Arabidopsis thaliana: one gene and its partners. The protein of the gene in region 3 interacts with the protein of the main gene of each other region in a pairwise test. Each region holds a gene or a part of one and is shown on either strand. Other genes may lie near its edges. The genes, in order: AT5G12190, MORF3, MYBR1 and CDSP32.

Region 1 (5,582 bases), about 23 Mb from region 3:
TTATATAACTGATTCCAGACTTTAATCATGAATATGAAGCTTATGAAACAAAAATCCACCTCGCTCTCTGTTCCCAGATATATCACAATGGAAGAGCTAGAGCAAGCCCTACGGGAGTTTGGCATGAATGATGGCAGAGACATTAAGGAGATCATTTCCGAGGTTGATGGAGACAATGATGGTCGGATAAACTATGATGAATTTGTGGCAATGATGAGAAAAGGAAACCCGGATCCAATCCCAAAGAAGCGGCGTGAACTTTCATTCAAATGAACACAATTGTTGAAGTAGAGGAAGAGAGGAGATAGAAAGAGAGTTACACACAGGGGTCGAGAAACTCATCTTCCTTTCAAAATGAGAAATAAGGCAAAGCAAATATCAAAGAAAATTATTCTAAAGTGGAGGAGATCTTTAAGGGAGGAGAAGGCTCAAGAAGGAAAACAAAATCATTTGGGGCATTTGGGGGGAGGTGTTTGATATAATGTACATTTTCTTTTCTAGTTGTCTACTACTGCTTAAAGTGCCATGGGTTTCTCAATGTACTTCAAAAAAAAAAAAAAAAACTTTTTCAATTCTCTTGTATGTGTTAGTGATTATTCGTTCTCATTTCCTAGCAAAACAGTGAGCACCACTTTGGAAAAGAATCGTAGCTAAAGACAATATATATCAATTTATTGTTCAAAAGTTCTGCTTAAGAACTCGATTCATTAGAGAGAAAGATCAAATGAAGAGCAAAGCCAGAAAGAGTCATAGAAAAATGGAATTCAGACTACCAAAAAAATGAAGGATAAATTAGTTATACCTTGATGTTTGGCTGCAGTGCGAAAATAATTCCATCTTCCACATAAACATCAGCAAGTGCATTCAATATAGTACCCCTCATTTGATCAAAATCCAACTGGTTGACACACCACACCATACTCTCTCCCTGCATCATAAAACTGTAAACAAAAAGATGCTCAACTCTGATTCCAAACAACGACCAACTGCTTGTCAGAGGAAGAGATCATGGGGTTGAAGTTTAAAGGTATGGACACTGATAGCAGTGGAACAATTACACTCGAGGAGTTAAGACAGGGACTTACTAAGCAAAGGTACAAGGTTGTCAGAAAATGAAGTCAGCAGTTAACGGAAGCTATGAGTACTTCTTGTACTTGCAAGAGTTTCAACGCCGAGCAGCAAGGAGACTAACACTATTTTCTGTTTTTCTTTATTTTGTTCGGCTCTGCGAATCATACAGGTCGAGGCTGATGGTAATGGAACAATATAGACAATGGAACGTTTATCGCAACCACAATGCATATTAACAGACTTGAAAGGGGATTTGGGAGAGCTGTTGAATTATGTATATTTTCTCAATGTACTTAAGTTCTTCTTTTTCAATTCTCTTGTATGTGTTAGTGATTTTTCGTTCTTACTTAGTTCCTAGCAAAACACTGAACACCAATCTCGGAAAATTGCATCAAAGCACAAAAAAAATTGTCACAGCAATAGCTAATTTGGGATTAAAAGATGTATTTTTCATTGCTTGGTCGATGTAAATGACAAAAGAGCAAACCTTACATAAAGAACTCCACTAAATTCATACAGATAAAAGAAAGTTTCACATCTCCCAGAATTTCAAAACCCTAAATTGCAGCAGTAACAGAACGACCATAAGAAGATCGAATTCAAGGACAATTACTTATCTTTGGTAGAGACTCCATACTTCTCCTGCAACTTGGTGATCTCATCTTCACTCTTCTTCTGGTCAAACTTCTTGCTCATCTTCGCGTGCTGGTAGTATAACACGATTAGGTACCGATTCGCGACGTTGAAGCCAGAGAGATGGTCGACGGCGTTCTTGGCATCGTAGATATCCTCGTAAACGACGAAGGCAGTACCTTTCGTCGCCTTGTCGCAACCGATTCGAATCTGGCGAATTGCGCCGTACTTGCCGAAGATATCGTACATCTCTTCGCTCGTTATGTTAAAGGGAAGGTTACGAACGTAGAGCACGCGATTCACCTCCGGTGGGAGTCTGGTGTTACTCTTGCGAAGACTGATTGTTGTCATAGCTTCTCTTCTTCTTCTTTTCCTTCCTTTATTAGCCGGTGATTTGTTATCGCCGCCGTGAAAAAAGTTCTTCTATCGGAAAATGAAAGTTAATAGTTCTGATTACGATTGATGCGATGCGAGTATTTATAGGGTGGAAGAATTAAAGGGTATAATCGTCTTTCCGAATGCAGGCTTGGGGGATTTTGATTGACGATTTTATGTAAACCATTAAAACCAAAAGTAATTTACCAAACCGATATCTATTTCTGGTTTGATGGCAAAAACCTGAACGCCTTTCAGTGTTGATCAACCTACTAAAAAAGCAGCCTTATATACCTGTGCGGCCTCCAGCTCAAAAGCTTGATTATTGGAAACAGTAATGTTTAAACTAAGAAGCTTTTCGCATGTCTCCTCTTTTTCTTCTAATACACACAGGATTTGAGATAAAGAGAACATAGACTAATTAACTCACGGATAAATTTTACAATCTTTTATTTTTTCTCAAAACCAGACTACATGCACATTATTCATAATCGCTCTTTCAATACTTTTAATACAAATTATGTACAATTGTTCTTACAGAATCACGATATGCAGATAGATACCTGCACTTTACGTAGCTTCAGTTCTGACACGCTTAACTGGAGCTCGAAGAGAAGATAGATAATTAGCATCTGATTTCTCAATACCATCGAAAAGGTAACTGAAAGGAGGCATCTCTATATACTTGCCACTTCTTGGAACAACTTTAAGTTCCTCGTTTTCCCACACAATTCGTCCTCCTGCTATTGTCACTTCAACTTTTCCCTGAGATTTAACAATCAAGTCCCCAATAAAATAAAAGGTTATGATTGCTCAGAGATTATACAAATCAGTAAAGACGAATTGTTTGTAAAAAGGGTATCATTACCTTTCCTCTTCTGCCCTCGTAGACGTTTGTGTCTGATCTTGAATGATGAGACTTTGAGCTAATCTCGTAGCTTGAGTTTGGATTCAATATGATAATATCTGCATCCGAGCCAGCAAGGATAGCTCCTTTCCGTGGATATATGTTGAAAATTCTAGCACTGACAAACTTAAAGTCATTTCAAATGCAAACACATAACTTTCAAGTAAAAGCTCATTGGAAAAAGCAAATTTTCAACATTAAAAAGAAGCTTCGAAAGAGCATATATACCACTCAGTGCTGGTTATTCGAACATAATCAGTAGCTGAGAGTTGGCCAGACTCCTGGATTAGGATATACAGAAAACGATTAAAACTTCTGTACAGAAAGAAGAATTTATTATTCCACAAGTACTTACCACCATCGTGTCCCATATCAAGTGCATCCGTTCCTCAAGGCCTAAACATATGGACAAGTTCAAAAGTATTTACAGGTTAGCAGGGGCAGTGAGCAGAGAAAGCAAGAAACCAGTCAAGTCAGCTATTACCATTAACACCATTAGGTATTCTGCGGAAATCATCAAGTCCTAGAGCTTTTTGTGTAGAATTGAAAGTGCAGTGATCAGTTCCTACAAGCTGCAGAGATTATCCCAATAAAAGGAGAAAAAGGTGTTTAGAAGATCTTAACATTTTGATGCTACAGGTCATGCAATTCTCTAGTTTATGCACAGCGAGGAAAGAAACCTGAAGGATTCCTGTGGAAAGGGCATCTTGTAGGGCTTTCCCATGTCCTACTGGTCTGATAGGTGGACTCATGACATACCTGAAATATTGAGAAAAACTTTGAAAATCTGAAAGAATAAATGGGAATCATTTGATTAACAGAACTGAAGGATTTATTACTTGGACGCAATTGTGAAGTCAGGATCCCAAAGCCAATGATCATCAAGGATTAATCCAGACACAACAGGCTCTCCAATAACCTTCTGTCCTGAAATACATAACAAAAAAACTTTTCATATTTATTAAGCCAAATACTAAGTAAAAATTTGAAAGGTACTTTTCTACACATATGTTATTGCACTAGTGGATGTTCGGATAGGAGATTGATTTCTAACAGGATAATGTCCATACAATGAGAAAAGCAAAAGGTTAGTCCTACATGAGTTGTAACAGAAAACCTGATTTTCGAGCTTTAGCAATCTCGTCCATTGCATCAACACTCATCACATGAACAACATAGAGAGGCGTGTTAATAAAACGAGCCAAACGAATTGCTCTAGCAGTGGCCTCTCCCTCGAGCTGACATTGTCAAACAAGGATCTTGTTTTAGTAGCTTCAACAAAGCTTTACAGAGGCAAGAGCAGATATAGGAGAAAAGAAAAAATCTAGGAGGCAGTATAATAAAATGGAAAATGCTTGACGCAAATTACCACAGGAGGCCTTGAAAGAGCATGACCCTCTGGACCTGTAATGCCCAGTTCAATCATTCTTTTCTGTCCTTCGAATACTGCATCTCCATTTTCAGCATGAACCATGGCCAAGGCACCGAGGGATTTGCATCTTTTAAGTCCTTCTAGGAGTAGGTCATCAGTTACCATAAGAGATCCTTTATACGCTAGGAAAAACTTGAAAGAGTTGATACCTACAAAATTTAGAGATATATGCACTCAGTTTCATCTTAGCAGGGAAACTAAAGGGATAGAAACACCAAAACTGTGAGGCATCAATGTGTCACAAGACAAGACATTTACCCTTTTCCTTGACCAACATCTCCATGTCCCTGGAAACACCTTCATCCCACTTTGTGATTGCCATATGAAAACCGTAATCCATACAAGATTCTCTAGATTTGTTTTCATAGGCTTCAAAACCAGCCACCAGATTCCCATTGACAGGTATAACAAAGTCTATATGCATAGTTGTTCCACCAGCTAATGCCGCTGCCTGACCACTGAAGAAATCATCAATAGTCTCGGTACCCATAAATTCCATGGCGAGGTGCGTGTGGGGGTCAATTCCTCCTATTTACATCAGGGACAAGAGTAAGATGAAAATGCTAACCATTCTTAATTAGAACTGAAACTAGTTAAGGATTCAAAACAAAAGGCTAAAATTTTGGAAAGTATCAACTAGTATGAATTGATTAACCTGGCATGACAAACTTTCCAGTAGCATCGAGGACAGTGACTTCATCCCCAACCTGTTTACATAAAAACAAACAGATCAAACTTGGAATTTAGATTCTCACAAAAGATGAAGGACAGATTACAAGGGAATAGTTAGACCTTAATGTTTGGCTGCACAGCGACAATAATACCATTTTCCACATAAACATCAGCAAGTTCTTGATGGTGTGCATTGACAACAGTACCTCCTTTAATCAAAATCCTCGTCGATGAAACCCCACAAGATCCCACACCATTCTCTCTCCCTGCACTACAAAACTGCAAGAAAACACATCAGAGAGATCATTTTCGATTTTAGACACATGTGGATAGCTTTTTTTCCAGAAAATTATAAATCAAGCTCCAAACTTGTTCTTGAAAGTTACTGTGTTAAGAACTAGATGTTATAAGTGGACGGAGCTTTCAGTGTTACTTCAAACAAATCAAGGAGACAAAGCTCGACGGAAACTGATATCTGATCATTATTACAAG
Region 2 (6,297 bases), on a different chromosome or scaffold from region 3:
GATAAATGTTTAGCCATTTATGCTATAAATTTTACTTCATTTTTTTTTTGGTGTGAATTTCAGAGAAGGCATACCAAACAACCTCGTAAGAACATTTAAACATATGAAATGCCATCGATTTCTTTCTAAGAAATCACATATAATTTAAATCGACGTTGTTATAATCTCTCGATTTACTCCATGTAGAAAAATTTCCTTGAGAAATGATCACATGAACAAGCACATCTTCTGCTCCCACAATATTGCTTTTTTGACACATATTTCCTTATATTTATGAATAGAACCCGTATATTTTCAGAAATGTGATACGAAAACTCTTCAATGAATTATATAGCCCAACCCATAACTTTGGGCTTTCACGTATTAATGGACCCTTCTTGCGTGCGACTCACGTGTGAATACTGCAAGACACGTGGCTTCTCTATTCAACGCGCAAATCAGTTACGTGTACAATTTATCCGCCTCCTTCGGATCCGAATCAGCTTCCTGATTTATTTCCCGTCATTACCCAAATTCGCCGGCAATGTTGTAAAAATCCCTAATCCAAAACTATTTCGTGGATTTTAGGGAAAAAAGAGAATTCGAACAAGGTCGTCGTCGTCGTCGGATTTGTAGATCATCATGGAGTTCTCTTTGATCGCAGATACAGTCACAGTTTGCACGGCTAAGCAAGGTATCGCGTTTGGGAAATCTCTTCTTCAAAGGTTGGATTTGGCCAATCACATTTCTTTCGCCGATTCCGTTGTTGATCATCAATCTCCCGGTGGAGGAATCGTTCAAGCATCGGCGATTATTTTCCCCGTCGATGCAATTGCTCCTCCACCGGTCAGATCTAGCTCTTATAAGACAATTCGCCGGATCCGTAAAAAGCGACGAACCAGGCGAGTTTCGTTTGGTGGAGATGGAGATGACGCAGGAGATTTTGGTCGTTTTCTGTTAGAAGGTGATTTCGGTGGTAGCGACGGTCCATTTGGATTTGGAGGCGGAGGAAACGATGGAGGCGGAAAGGGATGGAACTACGGCGGCGGCGGCGGTGGTTTCGGGAGGGATAATTGGGATGGGTCTTCGTTTTCGTCTTGGTCAGATCCAGCGATGGAATTTGTGTATGAAGTGATTTGCTGGATCGCGTTGTCTAATTGTGTGCACTTTGCGTTCAAGAGGATAGTGAGGATCGTGACCGACGGTGAAAGGGAGAAGTTGAACATTGCATTATCTCCGGTATGCTGACAAATTCGTGGTCGTGGTGATGATTCCTGGTTAAAAGTATTCTTAATCTCGGTTCCAATTACATCATATGATCTCTCGTGTGTATATATATTACATTGTACATATTTATTTAATTTCTCCTTCGCAAGTTCACATTAGATTTTTATAATTTGTTCTGTTTAGAGTAGTGTTTAGTCATCATTAGAGACATGAATGATGATTGATTTGTTTGATTAAGTGGATAAAAACTGAAAAGTCTCTCACATGAGTGTTTAAGACAAGCATGTAAATACCATAATCCTAATAAACTCCATCCATTACATAATGCATTGTTCATGTTTAATATTAAGCACTGGGCTTGTTGAACTCTCCCGGATTTACTGGAGAATGAAGACCCATGGATGGCTCTCTCCTCTCAACCTGCATTGTCTCACGGCGCCTATCATACCTTGGCCTAGGACGGGGTCTAGTATGACGCTGTTCCGTGAACCTGTACTGTGGTCTGGGTATGACCTTTCCTTCAACGTACAAGTCACCTGAACATGAGAGCCAAAGACAGATGGTATCAGTATTAAGAACCATATCTCAGTACCCAATCATTCAGACAAAATCTACAAACGTTACACACCTCCGTAGTCTTTGTTTGGTACATCGAGATAGGAATCCGGCAGCACCCAGAGAACACCAGGCAATGCTAATGAATCACACAACTCTAGATCAGATTTCTCAAACAGTAAAATATGTTCTCATTTTATAGTACTAGAGACAGACAATAACTGCGATAAAACAAAGATCAAGAGAAGTTTCCTCCTAGCTGTTGAACAGAGCAGTACCAAACAGAGAAAGCCTTTTACGATAAATCTCAACATCATAAGTAAACAACTAGAAAAGCTATGTCAGAGCAAAAAAGGCTTAAAAACCTAATTGCAAATATGGAGAAGTTGATACCTTTGACTTTGCAAGAGAGCTCTTCAGAGATCAAAGCACCAAAGCCAGTGTAGGTCGAAGTACAAACAGAGTAAATCTTCTTCTTGGCCTCTTCCTCACTATAGTTTAACCATTATTACCCACAAAATGCAAATCCGTCAATCCCCAAATGCACAAGAAAACATTTGAGAGTCAAAATCAAATGAAAAGGAACTTGCCAGCCAAGGACGGAAGTTAAGGTTTTGACATAAGAATTGATCATCTCTTCTTCAGTAGGTTTAGGATCAGTGAACTCCATGACGATGAGCCAGTGCTCATAATCGCACCCATCAAGAAGAATCGTCTCCTTCGGCGGACGGTTGCTCCAATTCGGCGAAGGATCATTCAGCGGCGAGTATCCGGACCCGGATGTCTTGGGTCGGGTCGAGATGTAACACGGGCCCAGGCTGGTTCGGGAAGAGGAAACCTTTTCAATTAGAGGCATGGCGAATCGAGAACGAGAAGAGAGCGTAGGAAATGAAGAAGAATATGAAGTAGAGGAAGAGAGGGTTTTGTTTAGGAGTGTCGATAATGTTCGCCGTGTGCTGATAAGAGCCATCGCCGGTGAGGGTTTCGGCTTCTGTTCTTCTTCGGTCCTTCTCTTTGCAGAAGCTTTGAGAAACTATATGGGCTTAGTGGGCCTTTGATTTATACTTTTTAGATGGGCTATTAAAAAATTTCTCTACATTAAATTCCTTAGTTTAGTAGTTAAAAGTTTCCCAACAGAAAAATACTTTAAATCTTCTTGTCAAATACTTCAACACTCCTAATTGAAACACTTTCAGTGTTAAAAAAATGTTTCAATTATCGCTTGTCAAATTGTTTGTTCATTCTTAAGTGTTTTCAGAAAGAAAATTTCGTCCTCGTTAGCTATAAAACGTATTCATTTTGTATTAGCTTTCTTAATGTGAATATGACGTCCTAAGTCAAATCACCTAATCTAAAATTTTGATTTGAGTTAGCAAAATGTCCATCAAGTTAATTCATGGATAACTTTTCCAACCTATATATGGTTAGTAATTAGTAATTATCTTTGGCTTTTTTTGGATGCATATAAAATCACAATGACGATAATAACGATGATTATCAAAATCAAAATGGTTACTGTATTTACTATTTATAAAAAAAGAAAACATAGAATTATCTCTCCAAAAATAAGAAAAGTAGATAAACATTTCTGAAATTGCTGTAAGGTCAAAAGTAAAAAGAAAATTATCCAAAAGAAAGGTTATGCGACTTTCCGTAAATGGAATTGTTGGTATGAATGCGTGTATTTGTGTTTTAGAGAGCTATTCTTGTTGATGAATCTCTGAGGAGCAGAGCGAGATAGAGGAGAGTGAAGGAACATCATGGGAAGCAGCACGGGCGATCTTGTGACACGTATCCAATCAGCTCACCGTTTCGATCACGATGCCTTGTTTCGTTTTGCCGCCGACAACGTCTCTGGCTTTCCGACCAACCCTTCCCAATTCAAAGTCTCACAGGTATGTTTTCCAATCGCCGAGGTTTTTTCTCCGGTAAGAAAGAAACTTTTATCTGACTGTGTTTTGTTTTGGTTTGGTTTACATACAGTTCGGACATGGGCAGTCGAATCCAACGTTTCTGATAGAGGTTGGCTCAGGGAGTTCCTTGAAACGATACGTTTTGAGGAAGAAGCCTCCTGGCAAGCTTCTTCAATCTGCTCATGCTGTTGATCGAGAGTTTCAGGTATCAATCAATTAATAATCTTTACCTCTGTAAAATTCATTGTAACTGTTCATACTCGATTTTTGAAGAAGATGAAATTTTGTTGTTTCTAGTACCGTTTTGAAATGCAGAATCATTGTAACTTTTTGTGATGCTGCTTATAAGAGATACGGTATCAACTAAAGGTAGATGCTTTTTTTGCTTAATACTTTGATGGTGGTTGGTTTATGTAGGTGCTTCGGGCTTTAGGTGAACATACACAGGTTCCTGTTCCTAAAGTCTTCTGCTTATGCACTGACCCTGCTGTCATTGGGACTGCTTTTTACATTATGGAGTTTATGGAAGGACGTATTTTCATTGATCCAAAGTTGCCGGTAAGATATTCTCTGTTATGTGAATGTGTATGTACGGTTTTTTTAGCTTGAGATGTGACTCATTGTAAACGAAAGGTGTAAATTTGTGTGTGTTTCATCGGTTTTGATTTAGAATGTAGCACCTGAAAGGAGAAATGCGATCTATCGTGCAACCGCCAAAGCCTTGGCATCTCTTCACTCTGCTGATGTGGATGCCATTGGTCTTGAGAAATATGGTCGGCGAGGCAATTACTGCAAAAGACAGGTTTGTTCTTTATTTGGGGCTGGTGAATTTCCAAATCACTACTCACTAGTTTGATGTTCTCTTAATGCTTATATGCTCTTGCTAAAGTTTTTTCTTTTGGATACCTCCATTTCAGATAGATAGGTGGTTCAAACAATATTTGGCTTCAACAAGTGAAGGTAAACCTGAAAGGAATCCAAAGATGTTTGAGCTTGTTGATTGGTTACGCAAAAACATCCCCGCGGAAGATTCAACTGGAGCAACATCAGGCCTTGTCCATGGAGACTTTCGCATTGACAATCTCGTTTTTCATCCTTCTGAGGTCTTAATACTTTCAAGATCTTTTGTTTTCTGATCCTTGGATAGTCTCGGAGACTTAACTGAAAATATCTTAAACTGTAGGATCGAGTTATTGGAATAATTGACTGGGAATTGTCCACGCTTGGGAACCAAATGTGTGATGTTGCATACAGCTGCATGGTAATAACCTATTCTTGTTTGTTGTATTGTACTCATAAAGCAGTTTTCTTTGCTTCCTGCTCTGATATACAGTTCATTTGTGTTGGCAGCATTACATTGTGAATGTTCAGCTCGATAAGGAGCATGTTAGTGAAGGTTTTGAAACTACTGGGCTTCCAGAAGGAATGCTTTCGATGCCAGAATTTCTCTTAGAATACTGTTCTGCATCGGTATTGTCCTGCAACAACATGTAGTCTTTAAAAGGAATCAAGTCAGGTGTTCCTTGTACATTGCCTATATTTTCTCAATTTCTGTTGTAGTGACATATTGGCAAATGAACTTTAGGGAAAACCATGGCCTGCTGCAAACTGGAAGTTCTACGTAGCGTTCTCCTTATTTCGGGCTGCTTCAATCTACACAGGGGTGTACAGTAGATGGTTAATGGTATTCCCCGGGCATATTTTTGAATTCTAAGATTCTTTATTATGCAGTTGTAGAGCCATTGACATTGTGTTGATCATGCAGGGGAATGCTTCTGCCGGTGAAAGAGCGCGAAATACAGGGGTTCAAGCTAATGAGCTTGTAGAGTCTGCCTTGGGTTATATTGCACGTGAAAATGTTCTTCCAGAACACCCTCCATCTGGTAATCGACCTCTTTGAGATTCAAGTTTGTTAAGGATAACTGTTTATTTTACATTTCTTATATATGGATGCAGTTCAAAGAGACGTGTCTCCGTCGTATGAAAGCCTTGTGGATGGAAGCGGGAGATTCATCCCCAACAGAAAAGTATTGGAGTTAAGGCAGAAGTTGATCAAGTTTATGGAAACTCATATCTACCCAATGGAAAACGAGTTCTCCAAACTTGCTCAATCAGATATGCGATGGACCGTTCACCCTCAGGAGGAAAAGTTAAAGGAAATGGCAAAGAGAGAAGGCCTATGGAACTTATTTGTTCCTGTATGCATCTTTTTCGCTACAAATCTCTTATTACTTTTACCCTGATTGAGACTGTACTTATTGATTCTTGGTTCTTGCAGGTAGATAGTGCTGCTAGAGCTAGAAGAGAACTGGCGGCTACCGAGAATAAACATAACCTCTCGGGCAAGTCTTTTGATCAATTGTTTGGTGAGGGCCTCACGAACCTGGAGTATGGTTACCTTTGTGAGATCATGGGTCGTTCTGTTTGGGCTCCACAGGTGTTTAACTGTGGTGCACCAGATACTGGAAACATGGAGGTATAAAAGCCTGATGTTGTTTACCGTTCCAAGAGTTGTCTCATTGCTTGTTACTTGTATTTATATAATCTGTACTATCTTGTAGGTGATACTGCGGTATGGTAACAAAGAACAAATTTCTGAATGGCTTATTCCGTTGCTCGAGGG
Region 3 (6,715 bases):
GCCGTTTCTGCGCCGTAGATATCTTGTCCACCGCTCGTCTCAGAGACTTTTCGGATATACGGAGAGACGAAGTGAGAGCTATGATTCGGAAGATCAACGTGGAACTGGTAACATCAGGAGGCAGTGTCAGATTGAAACTCCAGCCGTTTCTTTATGGGCTTACGTATAACATCCTAATGAGCATGGTCGCTGGAAAACGAGAGGAAGACGAGGAAACTAAGGAAGTTCGGAAGCTGATTAGGGAGGTGTTCGATTTCGCTGGTGTTAATTATGTCGGAGATTTTCTCCCGACTCTGAAGCTCTTTGATCTTGATGGATACAGAAAGAGAGCAAAGAAACTCGCTTCGAAATTGGACAAGTTTATGCAGAAATTAGTCGACGAGCATCGGAAAAACAGAGGAAAAGCAGAGCTTGAGAAAACGATGATCACTCGTTTGCTGTCTCTTCAAGAATCAGAACCTGAATGTTACACTGATGATATCATCAAAGGGCTCGTACAGGTACATGAGTTTTTAATTCCTATAATTTTGAATCGTTAATAGGAGTGATCAAGATTGATTCATCAAAGATTCAAAGGATTCATTGCAGGTGATGTTGCTTGCTGGAACGGACACAACCGCAGTGACGTTGGAGTGGGCTATGGCTAACCTTCTAAATCATCCGGAAGTTTTAAGGAAACTCAAAACGGAACTAAACGAGGTTTCGAAAGAAGGGCGTGTGTTTGAGGAATCAGATACTGGCAAGTGTCCCTATCTCAACAATGTGATCTCTGAGACTCTTCGTTTGTTTCCGGCGGCGCCCTTACTTGTCCCACACGCTTCATCCACTGACTGTGAAGTCGCTGGATTTGACATTCCACGTCGCACCTGGCTATTTATCAATGCGTGGGCTATTCAGAGAGACCCAAATGTATGGGATGACCCAGAAACTTTCAAACCAGAGAGGTTTGAATCAGAGACCCATCGTGGTAAGTTTCTGCCTTTCGGAATCGGTAGGAGAGCATGTCCTGGTATGGGCCTGGCCCAACTAGTACTGAGCTTAGCTTTAGGCTCATTGATCCAGTGTTTCGATTGGGAGAGAGACAATGACGTTGCCGTTGACATGTCGGAAGGAAAGGGTCTTACCATGCCCAAATCTGTGCCTTTAGTTGCCAAATGCAAGTCTTTACCAATCCTCGACAAACTTGTTCTTTAACTGGATCATTTATCTTTCACTTTGTGATACTTTGTGTATTAATTTGATCTATTATCATCATTAAGCGTAGTTATAAATAAAAATTTATTTTATTTTCCTGAATAGCTTAAGAGAAATTTGATCTTCGTCTTCGTCACTACGTCCCCAGCTCTCGAGCTTTGTTCACTCGATTTCCTCTATACATTTCCTTAAAACCCAAAATTCTTAAGCCTAATCCAAAGGAGAAAAAAACAGAGCATTTTTCTTCTTCTCCAATTTAAACAGTTTCCTAATAATCTCACTTTGTCTACTCGATTCTCCCAACTCCAATTTGACTCATCGGAATCATGCCATTATCAATGAATCCTCCGACGAATCCGCCACCATTGTTCCGTTGCATCTCCGTCATGTAACTCCTCACTTCCGCCTTAATCATCTCTTGCACCACCGCCATAAACTCGCCTCCGTTACCGGGAAAAGACTTCCCCATTTCCTCAATCGCACCTCTAAACCCACCACTAAACGGCATAAACGACACCGTATTGTTGTGGTTGTGGCGGCTCGAAGTGGTGTTGTTGATATTCGTTGACTCGTGGCTACGGTTTGACTCCTCGCTTACGTCGGCACCAGGAAGTGACAAGCTTAACGAAGTCGGTGGATCATCGGAAGAAGACGACGTTTCGATAGGAAGCGGTAGCACAACAGCACCAGGTCTAGGCACAGGCTTGAAAAGCTCAACGGAAGGTAATATCGGGATAGTACTTGAATCACTGACATCAGATCCAGTTGGGCTTCCTGGGCTCATGTAAAGCCCAGTAACAACAGGTGGAGATCCCGCACTCACCGATCTCTTAACCGGCCGATGATCCTCCGAACCATCGTAACCCCGATGGTCGTAACCGCCGCATTTCCTCTTGAGCGTCGAGTTCCAGTGATTCTTCACGGCGTTGTCCGTACGACCGTTGAGAAGACGAGCAATCGTCGCCCATTTATTACCGAACTGAGCGTGAGCACGTGCGATCGTCTCGTCTTCCTCAGCCGAAAACGGCCGATGCTCAACTTGCGGCGAAAGCTGGTTGCACCACCGTAAACGACACGATTTCCCCGATCTACCGGGAATAGATTTGCTAATCACTGTCCAGTTTCTTGGACCGTATTTAACAACAAGCCTACGAAGCTGCTCGTCTTCTTCAGGACTCCATGGACCTTTGATCCTATCAGCCATTGATTTTGGAATGTTTTATCAAACTTTAGCAATCTTCTCCTCTTTAGTGATTTTGGTTTTGAGAGATGAACCAAAAACAAGTTCGAGAAACTAAAGAGAGGACAAAATTATTTATACAGAGATTTAAGAGAGGAGGATAACCGGAAACCGGTTAAGACGGTGGAGAAGTCATGGGCAACGCTTCTTCCACGCAAGCGGTTTTTCAAAGTTTGCGGTACAGCTGTAAGTGGACACGCGTCGAAGCCTGACTACGTCGATGTGTCTTTTTTGTCGTTTTCGTAATAATTTTGTTCAAGATCAGCAATTTCGTATAGTTGAGCGTGGAGATCAGTCGAGTCTCAAAGTATGAGTTTGTGAGTACACGCGCCATTTAAGCGCGTGGCGAAAGTAAGAAGTTAAAGAGACAAAATCACGAAACCCAACTAGCAAAGCCATGATAATATTCGCACAATTTGAGGTGAATTTAAATTTTTTTATAGGGGAAATAAAAATGAAAAAGAAATATCTGAAGAAAAAAATAAAAAGATGATAACGGTTAGGTTTGGGTAAGGACAGTTTTTATTTATTTTTATGTTTAGTCTTGACTTTAGAATAGCGAAGCCAGGCTGTATAGCACTTCACATAAAAACTTTATGATAATATCTACTTTACATATAACCGATTTTCCGGGTTGAAAACTAATCAAAATTATTGACCACAAATTTCATTACTAATAAAGAAAACAAATTGTCACTAAGAAGGTATAATTAATTACTAAACAACACACAAACACCTAATTCATGCATATAACAGTGCATGACAAATTGACAATACTAAATCTATATATAGTTGCTCTATGATCATAAAAAGATCTAAACCTCAATAATTTGAAACGAAGCTGGATTAAAATGGGATTGACAAAGAACCGTGTGAGCGATATTAAGTGAATGTATAAAAATGGTTAGATATTAATGTTCGGTTTAGGAAACGTGATGTAAAATGTGCGGTTAACAAAAGATAGGAGGTTTTGACGTGGCAGAAAACGACAACATAGGTTGCCGAATTGGAACGCAAAATCATCACTGCCTTTGTTTCCTGAAATATATTTAATTATTATATCGAAAATACGAATAGAAACAGCCAGGCTGTATAAAACTTGTTAATCAAACAAAAACAATTAATAAAACACTAACTGTCATCCATTTAAGAACTGCCACGTGTCGGTCGTAAAACGCGGGTTTTTAAAAGCTCTTTGTTCTGGTATGTACGGTACGAATCAGGTCGGTAAACGTCAGGTAATGTTCATGCACGCTCCCTAACCTTCCCTCTAACGGTTCATAATTCTCCTTTTAATTAAACTATAGTATTGTTAGTTCTTAATAATTCAAGTTTTTACGTAACCCCACCAAACATTTGAATTTATACCTTTTGAGTTATATATCTACATTTTTGTCGATTTGTTGATAATCTATTAGACATCAGGAGTTTAATACTTTGAGTGAATTTGATAATTAATAATGCCAAGAGGTTATTGTGATGGGAACAATAAGCTCTAGATGTAACCTTGCGTAGTTATTATATTGGGTTTACGTGTTCGTTTGTGAGACTCAACTATACTACTATAACCTTGCTCGTTGTTTCTATTATCAATGGTCCGAGTGTCGGTTTTGGTCTCCTTGTTTTAAATATTTTATTGAAGTCGTTTTACAATTACCAACTTTTCCTTAAACCAAAAAATAGATCAATAATGGTTTTGATTGATGATATTGATGGTTGATTGACGGTGTCTTACTCACTCGAAGATTAGACAATTACCAAAACGATTTTATTCGTAGTCCACCAAAAAAACAAATCAACTGTGATCATTTTTCATATCTATTATAAATGACTACTATAGTATGACATTTTGAAAACATTTGTAACGAATAATCATCACAACATATAGTAAACTGAAAATATAACATGCAACAATCTAAAGAAAAAACCTAAAATACACAACGTACAGCCTCAATTATTGAAAATATTTTGTTTTCTGGTATGATAAATTTTGTGATTGAAACGACCACCGAGAAGTTCATATGAACATAGAAAACATTAAAGAAAACACCGTCCATATATTATTTTATTTAAGACACACCGTCCAAGATTACAACTGTATATTTTTGGACCAAAAAATCATTGCCCCTCTTGTGGAAAAGAGATAGTGGTGCAGAAAAAAAGGCACGTGGAACATGACCTAATTCGGCTAAATACAGTTTTAAAATTCAAAAACTTACGATAACCGGACAAAGATTTAACAGCTGTTTTCCAGTATGTCCACGTGTCCATGAATTATCCTTCCACGTGTAAGTTTGAGTGACGTGTCATGCTAATTATTCTTAACAAAGGCAAAACTACTCTTGTCTTGTTCCTCCTGTCGTGTAAGCTAGCAACTGTAATTTTGCTATTGGTCTACTAACGTGTTTAGATATTCTTCCACTTGCATTACCTTTTCTTTTTATTCGACATTATAGAATGTATTAATTGTTAACGGTTTAGGGAAACTACTTAATTATATGGTTTACAAACAAAAAAAAAACATAATGGTGTCAACAAAAAAAATCACAAAGGCAATAAATTAAAGAAAACAGGTGCATGTGGTTCGTTTACTTAGTTGCATAGAATAGAAAGATGCTGCTACAAAATATCCTTCCGTGTTCTCGCTTATCCTTAAGCCGTATGCACATTTTGTACCTTCACCTTCCACACGTGTGCATGTATATATCCACACGCACTACAAATCTGCATTAATGGTACGGTCATCGTTGAAACGACTACGTTCGGTGACCTTCGTGCTTAAGATAAATTTTGTTGGTCTTCTGATGTATATGCTTAAGCCACACACACCTAACACCTTCACTAAAGCTTGATTGAAAAGCGATTCTTTGTTGGACGACAAATAAAAAGTTACTCTTTTCTTCTTCTTTTTGTATGTGTGGAATCAAAACGTTTAATTTTTGTACCTACCAAGTACTATTTCATCTTATATGTTAGAACTTACCGATTTGTTGGATTTTTTAGAATTCTGATATCATATGATATTTCCAAAAAAACTTATTTAAAGATTTGCTTTATTTCGTCTTCAAATCTGAAATTTATCGTCAACTTTGTAAATCAAATGTTAAAAAATTTCAAATGTAGAATTGGGATATTAAAAACTTGATCATTTTGATAATATCTATATACTATAACTCTATAAGATAATGCATGGAATCACGTTTTACGACCAAGCATCATAAGAGTCATGAACGGGCAAAAGCGAGGGCAATATAAAGCTAGAAACAAAAGGACAGATTACTACATGAAAGTGTGTGAAGCTTTTTCCCCACATTGGCCGCCGGCTTTTTTTGACTTAATTAATATTAACAATACTCTCTACACTGTTTTTTCTGTCAATAATAGTAGTATATGATAAATATTCTTTTCAAAACAATACTTCTCATGTGGAGAAAATATCGACCACATCATCAACTTTCATGAACAATGATCAATGGATCGACCATCACACTTGCTAAATAAGAAAGGCATAAGAAGATTATGTTGCAAATTATTAATTGAAACTCTTGGATCGATAAATATTCCATCGGATTTGAACATGAAGATAATGTGTGAACGATTACATTTTAGGTTTTCACCTTTTTAGAGTGCAGTAAATGTGTGATTAAATAGAAATTTGCTTCACTAAAACCAAAAAAGTAAGTACAATTCTATAAACAGTTCATTATTTTATATATATTTTTATAGAATTGCAGAAACTTTCCGTATAGTAAACAAGTTCAATGAACACAAAGAATGAAAGAAGCTTCTGTTTAAGTAGAGGAATAAAATGATTATAAACAGAGCGAAATTATATGTAATATTATAAGAAAAAGTTTCGGCGGGTCTATCTAACTGAAAGTTAACAACATCACAGTACCTACTAAAAATATATTGAATAATAATCATTAGGAGTGTATGTGTGGTTGATGAAAGGCCGAAGTAGAGCCGCCCTATAAATGGGCTTTTGTCGTCAAAGTGGTGGAGCCCAATTTTGGAATGGCCTATCTGATTGTTAGTTGGTCATTTGTCCTTTTCCCCCATAATTTATTTCAACAAGTCCTTTTCAACTTCTTAAAACATCTAGAATCAGAAAACTATTCATTGAAATTCATACAGAGAATATCAGTTATCACTTATCAGCTACTAAATATCATAGGAAACACAGTAACACACAATAGCGTAGAGATTATACAATAAATGGGCTTCAAAAGATCAGCCCAAAAAGAAACTAAGCCCAATAAATAATTTCTAACTAACGTG
Region 4 (6,220 bases), on a different chromosome or scaffold from region 3:
AGAAGAAGTACAAAAAAAAAATGTTAATGGCCCTGCATATCCAACATCTCATCAAGTCCTTTGATTCTCTCTAAACCTTCACTAATCAGATACCGAATCTTTTGTTTGTCATTGCAGTCTCTGTTCTTTTCCATCTCTTGCCTAACAGTCTGTTTCAGTTCCCCTACAAAACATCAACACATAAAATCAAACAAAGTTTATCCTCCGAAATCTACTAAACCCCTAGATTTCGAGATTTTTAATCAAATGGATGTACGGTGAACGCAAATTTATTGTCTATGTGACGAATCTCATAGATAGAAAAATAAGAGACATGAAAGACACGAACCTCTAACATGAACAGGAGCTCTGTGAGCTATCTTCAATGCTTGTCGGTAAAGTTTAAGCACTCGAGCCCGGAGAATAAAGCTCTGCAGATCTAATTGAACCATAATTTATCAACCAACCGTTGAATTAAGAATTTACGGCCAGAGAAGGATCGATTCAGAAAGAACTGAAATCAAAATCGAAATCTAGGGTAAGAGAGAAGTTCCTGACTCTGAGTCCTGAGTTAAAAGAAAAAAGATCGGAGAAGGAAAGAGTCACGTGAGAAGGACATGATGAAGAATTAATGAAAATATGTGGTTTAAGTGTAAACCGGTAATCGGTGTTAATTGAAATCAAATTATAGTTTACCAACCATCTTTAATAACAGTTCTGTTTTAGATGGTCCTAATTACGGAAGCCCATCCGAACCATCGTGGTTTAACTTACAGCAAACAGATACCAAAATTAATTAGGTAGCTTTGAATAAATATTAGGTGGTTTAGCATCGTGTTTCCATAATATGATTTTCTCAGTGTACAGCTTCGCAATTTCTCAATTGTTTTTGGTCCATTTTCGTTTATTTAAAATCGTTTACTAGAGTTGTTCGTCCCTTGGTTGACTAATATTCTACCTTTTTTTTTTAATTTCTTTGAAGCACGAAATTGTAAACACAAGATATCAATAATTTAGACAAGGTCTCAGTAATTTAATATAGACTACGTAGGATTTAAAATATAGTTTCGATAATTAAAAGACAATCATTTACCAAAACGTGTTACTGAATGATTTGTGTTAATATTATTATCAGAATTCAAACATGCAAGTATATGAAGAAGAAGTATGTTTATCGATTGAAATACATTGTATTTTTTTTCTCTCTCTTAGGTGTTTCAATTACAGAACTTTAAATGCTAATTAACAAAAAAGTAAAATTTCATAAAGCTCCAACTAGTTCAATGCATCGTTGATAAGTTCTAACTTCTACCTTCCTTCCGATATGGCTGAATTTTGCTTGCATGTAGGTCCCAAATATCACCACCGTTTCTTAAAGAAATGTTATACTATTTTGATTTTTGGACTATTGAGGCACAAACTAAAGTCAAATTAGTAATTAACTAATCATCATCTTTGGAAAATAAAAAAATGTGCCGTTTAGCTTTTAGGTAGTAGTAACAAAAAGAAGAAACTTGAAACAAAAACAAACATGTCTTCCGCATTTTGATTTTATAAAGTCGGCCGTATAAACACAAAGGTCTTTCTTCTTCCTTTTTAGCTCTCACATTTGACCAAAACTCCTCCAATCCAGGCATCATCGTTGACTTTTTCAAACTCATTTCCTCTCTTTTTCCTTCTTCTCACATCATATTAGACCCAAACATAAAAAGAACGAAGAATCCTCTGTTCTTGTCTGCGAATTTTGCTGTTGTGATCAGCGATGGACATTAAGCATCATACTTCAACTTCAAAACCTAAGAACAAGAACAAGCTTTTGAAGATGCTTCCTAAAGCGATGTCGTTTGGACATCGAGTTCCACCGTTTAGTCCCGGAAGAGATCTCCACCACAACAACCACCATAATTACACGGCGGCTAACAAAATGTTTTTCTCTGGTCCTATGGTTCCTTTGGTACCTAACGCGGCTCGGGTTAGAAGAAACAAAAGCGACGCTGTTTGGGACGAACCTACTTCACCTAAAGTCTCTTGTATCGGTCAGATCAAGCTTGGTAAGTCTAAATGCCCAACCGGTAAAAAGAACAAAGCACCTTCATCTCTGATTCCTAAAATCTCCAAAACGTCAACGTCGTCTTTAACAAAAGAAGATGAAAAAGGTCGTCTTTCGAAGATCAAGAGTATCTTCTCGTTCTCGCCGGCGAGTGGACGAAACACATCAAGAAAATCCCATCCTACCGCCGTCTCCGCCGCGGATGAACATCCAGTTACGGTGGTTTCCACCGCGGCGGTGCCTTCGTTAGGTCAGATGAAGAAATTCGCTAGCAGTCGTGATGCTTTAGGTGATTTTGATTGGGCGGTTGAGATGAAACATGAAGAAGAATCACCCGCTGATCATCACCGTGGTTACTATTCTGACGACGACACCAGAGGAGCTTACTTGAGATACGATGATGACGAGGATGAAGATGACATAATAATCCCTTTTTCAGCTCCTTTAGGGTTAAAACCAAAGAAAGAAGTTAACTTGTGGAAGAGAAGAACCATGGATCCACCAAAACCACTTCATCTTCAAACCATTTGATTAAATTTCTTTCTTTCAGTATACTATATCAATTACTGCAGTTCAAATTGTATAATGATCATCATTCACAATGAGTCTGGATTTTCTTGTTTTGTGTATATATGTGATATATTGTGATGATGGATGATGATCGTTCACTTCAATAGTCTTTTGTGAATATCAATTTTGCTCCGTCCAAAAAAAAAAAAAAAAAACTCTTTCTCGCTACATATTTACAGTTACAATTACAAATTAGTTTTTGTATTTCCTTCTGTGACAGAGAGTATGACAACAACCAATGTCTTTCCACCACCAAATTGTCCATATATTAAATGTAAATCACAATCAACCATTAATATCACATACAAAATGATGATAATGTGTATATATTTATTGGGAATAATACAATATCTTCATTGGGTAGGTACAAATCATTAACATCTCATTCTTCCTTACGGAAATATTCAAATCCGTCAAAGTTTCCGTGCCTTCAAAGTTAGAACACAAAAGCAAAATCAAATAATCAAGAATCACACTATTTTGAGTTTTTTTTCTTTCATATCAACCGGTTTCGGATGGTACAGACAAAGACCAAAAACTCATTCTTTTTTGAAGTGAGATGTAATAAAATTAAAGTTTTGATACAAATTAATAAGTGACACGAACGCCTGAGTACCGAAGAATCTCTCCAATGAGTTCTCCTTTACCGGAACCAACATAACGGCCACGAATCTCGCCGTCTCTAATGAACAAGAAAGTTGGAACTTCGATAACATTCATGTCCTTGAGAAACTCCATACAACTATCGTTCTCGTCACCGTTCATTCTAGCGAATACGACTGTCTCGGACATTGACCGGGACAGTTTCAGCACGGTCGGATACACTTTAACGCAAGGACCACAATGTTTTAGACCAACGTCAAGCACGATCAGCTTGCCTCCAGTGCGATTCTCGTCGATCAGCTTTTCCACGTCAGGTCGGCCGTGCAGCTGCACCACCGCAGAGTGGTTGTCTCCGTAGTATAGAACGTCTCCCATTAACTGGTCCGGTTCAATACCTGTCGATGGTCAAACTTTTCAATTTAGTTACGTCTTTGCCACTACATTACTTTACTAATTTACTAGGTGACTTATTATGCTTCATATACTTTTAAATGGTTAGTGTTACAACATCAAAATAACAATATTATGTACCTAAAGAAATAATCATCGTACATCGTAATCAGCTAATAAACGTGTGTCCAAAAATCTGCTAAAATCTAGGTGATTTTGAGAGATTCTGTTAAAAGTTTCCTTACTTAGAGAAATTTGTTCAACAAATTAGGGGCATTATCGGTTAAGTAAAGTCTAATTCCAATATGTTTTATTTACTTTCTAGATTAAATCGAGTTCTCTTTTTAATGAGAAAAGAAATTAGAGATAATTCGGAAATTACCTTCTTCCTCGTGTATTTTCTCCATGCTCTTATAAAAGCTAAAGTGAGGAACTTTCTCAATCTTCTCTCTCCGACAGAGTTCTCTGGTCTTGTCAGATTCATCACCCATGACGAGCAAGAAAACGACGTCGTTACAGGTCCTGCTCAGTTCCACCATAAACGGATATATCTTATTACTCTGATCACTCTTACTCGTAGCAAACTCTGCAACCACGAGTTTGCTCTTCGCATTTTTCAACGCTACGTCGAATTCCTCTCCGCTGTGAATCTTTTGTACCTTCTCGTCATTCGCCGGTGGTGTACCCACCTTTCCCGGAGACGCCGCTCCAGCCTTTATTTTCACGGCGGAGAATAATCTTTTCGGGAGGTTTTTCCTCCGGAACAGAGGATTAGTTTTATGGTTAAAGAATACGAAGGAGGAGGTCGAAGCAACGGCGGAGGATGGCCGTGGGACTACGGTGGAGATTGGTTTGGCTAAGAAGTTAGCGACGGTGGCCATTGTTTGTGGTAGTGTGTGTGGGATTGGTTAGAGATCAGTGAATGATTTAATGTGGATAGATGTTTTAAAATGGGTCCAAGACTTTTATGTCCACTTGTTTAACTTGTGTGGATTGTGTTCACTGTTGATTAGATTTTTTTCGTGGGAATATAAAAGGAATATGTGAACTTGGTGAGATTGCTGTTTCTAAAAGCAATTCAAGTTTATTTTGTTCAAGTTGTTGTCATTCTGGAAAATTCCACCAGCATCCAAGTAAGACTAATTGAACCGGTTGGATAAATTCGACATTGTGGTTTCTTTTCCATCTGGTAAGCGGAAAATGTATCGGCCAAAAGAAAACAAAAGATTGCGTCAGCTCTCATAGTTTGGACAATTTTCTCAGCTTCGACCCAAATTGTCCATTGACTTACACATGTATACGCGTATTATTGTTGATGTCACGTACGAATATAAGCATATATCCACTCCCGGTGGAACTGGAAGTGAGGTAAACCAATAAAAATTGGCCTTAAGCCCATCATTATAAAAGCCCACTATAGAAATGACCCAGTGTTTTAGTAAACTTTTACACACAAATGACACAATCTTTTTAGTAATGCACAAAACAAATTGGAAAAAAAAAAACTAAATAACTAAATAAAATATCGTTTTCTAAGGTAAGCCGGAGTTCGTGCGACCACGCTGCTACCCACTACCGCAATGCGACAAACCATAAGCCTAAAATAAATCAAAATCAAATCTTTAAAAGATACATAGATTAATATATCAGACAGTTGACGACAATAACATATGCATATCGGACAGCCCACAAAATCCCACACGACCACTCCCGACTCACTACTACAGACACAATGTGACACCTAAGGACTTACCAAACTACCCTCATTGATGATACTAAAAGTTTATGCAACTCTATAGACGTGCTAATCCGGTTTATTCCGAGTTTGATCTTAGAAATTAAAACTAAACAGAGACTTGTAAACTCTACAAAATTTTAAAAAGGTAAAGGATCACTCCAATAGAATTTCCCGGCTAATTCTTTCAGAAACTATTTAAGAAGAGCGAAAAACTAATTTCCAGTGATCCATCATCAATTTAAACAAATCAAATTGAAAAAAAAAAATACAATAAACAACAAAGTGATAACATTAATACGACGACAAAGAGATTCTTAAGGGGCAAAACATGAACTTAGAAAGAAAGAAGAAGAAAAACGAGAACAAGGAAGAAGATTCTCAATCATTCATTCAGAAGCTTTCTCTGGTTTTCTACAGAGAATCATATGCATCGGAGAGAAGATTCCAGTCTCACCACCTCTGGTCAAATAATCAGCAGTCTTAAACAACATCTTATGAACATCAACAGTTCCTTTAGGAGCAACCCCAATAGCAGAAAGAATCACAACCACAACATGGTTTCTCCAATAAGCAATCCTTCCCATCTTTAACCGGTTCCACCACGGTTTAGACGGTGGTTTAGCCAAATCTTTCTCCTTCACTACCTCAAACCCAACTTTCTTCGCCGTCACGGCTATATCAGCGTAGCTTCTTAGTCCAGGAAGTGCGTCTCCTCTCTCGATCCCTTGAATCACGTCCTTGTGTTCTTCGTCATCGTCTCTGTATTTTTCAGTGGTGACCCATTCGTAGGACACGAACAAAGATCCTGGTTTCATCACTCTGAAGATCTCCGAGTATACTTCTTCGAGCTTAGGAGCGTGACACGTAGCTTCGATCGAGTAAGCTCCGTC

The links.
Region 1: the proteins of MYBR1 (region 3) and AT5G12190 interact in binary tests that used the Arabidopsis thaliana proteins (3 or more experiments, as listed by UniProt).
Region 2: the proteins of MYBR1 (region 3) and MORF3 interact in binary tests that used the Arabidopsis thaliana proteins (3 or more experiments, as listed by UniProt).
Region 4: the proteins of MYBR1 (region 3) and CDSP32 interact in binary tests that used the Arabidopsis thaliana proteins (3 or more experiments, as listed by UniProt).

What each region holds. Positions count from the first base shown.
Region 1 is NC_003076.8:3,939,051-3,944,632, forward strand, and holds AT5G12190 (RNA-binding (RRM/RBD/RNP motifs) family protein), read right to left. Parts: upstream 2,387-5,582; 5' UTR 2,056-2,386; coding exon 1,681-2,055; 3' UTR 1,431-1,680; downstream 1-1,430. Other genes in the region: CPK17 (calcium-dependent protein kinase 17), read left to right, coding at 78-273; PYD2 (pyrimidine 2), read right to left, coding at 2,650-2,844, 2,948-3,104, 3,215-3,267, 3,342-3,382, 3,471-3,558, 3,667-3,745, 3,826-3,913, 4,104-4,224 and 4 more. UniProt on the Arabidopsis thaliana protein: May be necessary for the splicing of pre-mRNA.
Region 2 is NC_003074.8:2,143,013-2,149,309, forward strand, and holds MORF3 (plastid developmental protein DAG), read right to left. Parts: upstream 2,796-6,297; 5' UTR 2,732-2,795; coding exon 2,352-2,731; coding exon of another isoform or gene 2,348-2,351; intron 2,253-2,347; coding exon 2,155-2,252; intron 1,901-2,154; coding exon 1,835-1,900; intron 1,743-1,834; coding exon 1,552-1,742; 3' UTR 1,372-1,551; downstream 1-1,371. Other genes in the region: AT3G06780 (glycine-rich protein), read left to right, coding at 622-1,227; IBR3 (acyl-CoA dehydrogenase-like protein), read left to right, coding at 3,522-3,656, 3,745-3,879, 4,092-4,232, 4,345-4,476, 4,592-4,777, 4,858-4,935, 5,025-5,144, 5,260-5,358 and 4 more. UniProt on the Arabidopsis thaliana protein: Involved in organellar RNA editing. Required for the processing of RNA editing sites in mitochondria.
Region 3 is NC_003076.8:26,849,792-26,856,506, reverse strand, and holds MYBR1 (myb domain protein r1), read right to left. Parts: upstream 2,486-6,715; 5' UTR 2,399-2,485; coding exon 1,481-2,398; 3' UTR 1,195-1,480; coding exon of another isoform or gene 589-1,194; 3' UTR 501-588; downstream 1-500. Other genes in the region: CYP81G1 (cytochrome P450, family 81, subfamily G, polypeptide 1), read left to right, coding at 1-500, 589-1,194. UniProt on the Arabidopsis thaliana protein: Transcription factor. Represses the expression of protein phosphatases 2C in response to abscisic acid (ABA). Confers resistance to abiotic stresses dependent of ABA. In response to auxin, activates the transcription of the auxin-responsive gene IAA19.
Region 4 is NC_003070.9:28,544,876-28,551,095, forward strand, and holds CDSP32 (chloroplastic drought-induced stress protein of 32 kD), read right to left. Parts: upstream 4,712-6,220; 5' UTR 4,474-4,711; coding exon 3,975-4,473; intron 3,598-3,974; coding exon 3,188-3,597; 3' UTR 2,911-3,187; downstream 1-2,910. Other genes in the region: AT1G76065 (LYR family of Fe/S cluster biogenesis protein), read right to left, coding at 24-163, 329-431; AT1G76070 (uncharacterized protein), read left to right, coding at 1,742-2,560; SMT3 (sterol methyltransferase 3), read right to left, coding at 5,717-6,220. UniProt on the Arabidopsis thaliana protein: Probable thiol-disulfide oxidoreductase involved in resistance to oxidative stress. May participate in the reduction of alkyl hydroperoxides derived from oxidative stress by acting as a physiological electron donor to the BAS1 peroxiredoxin.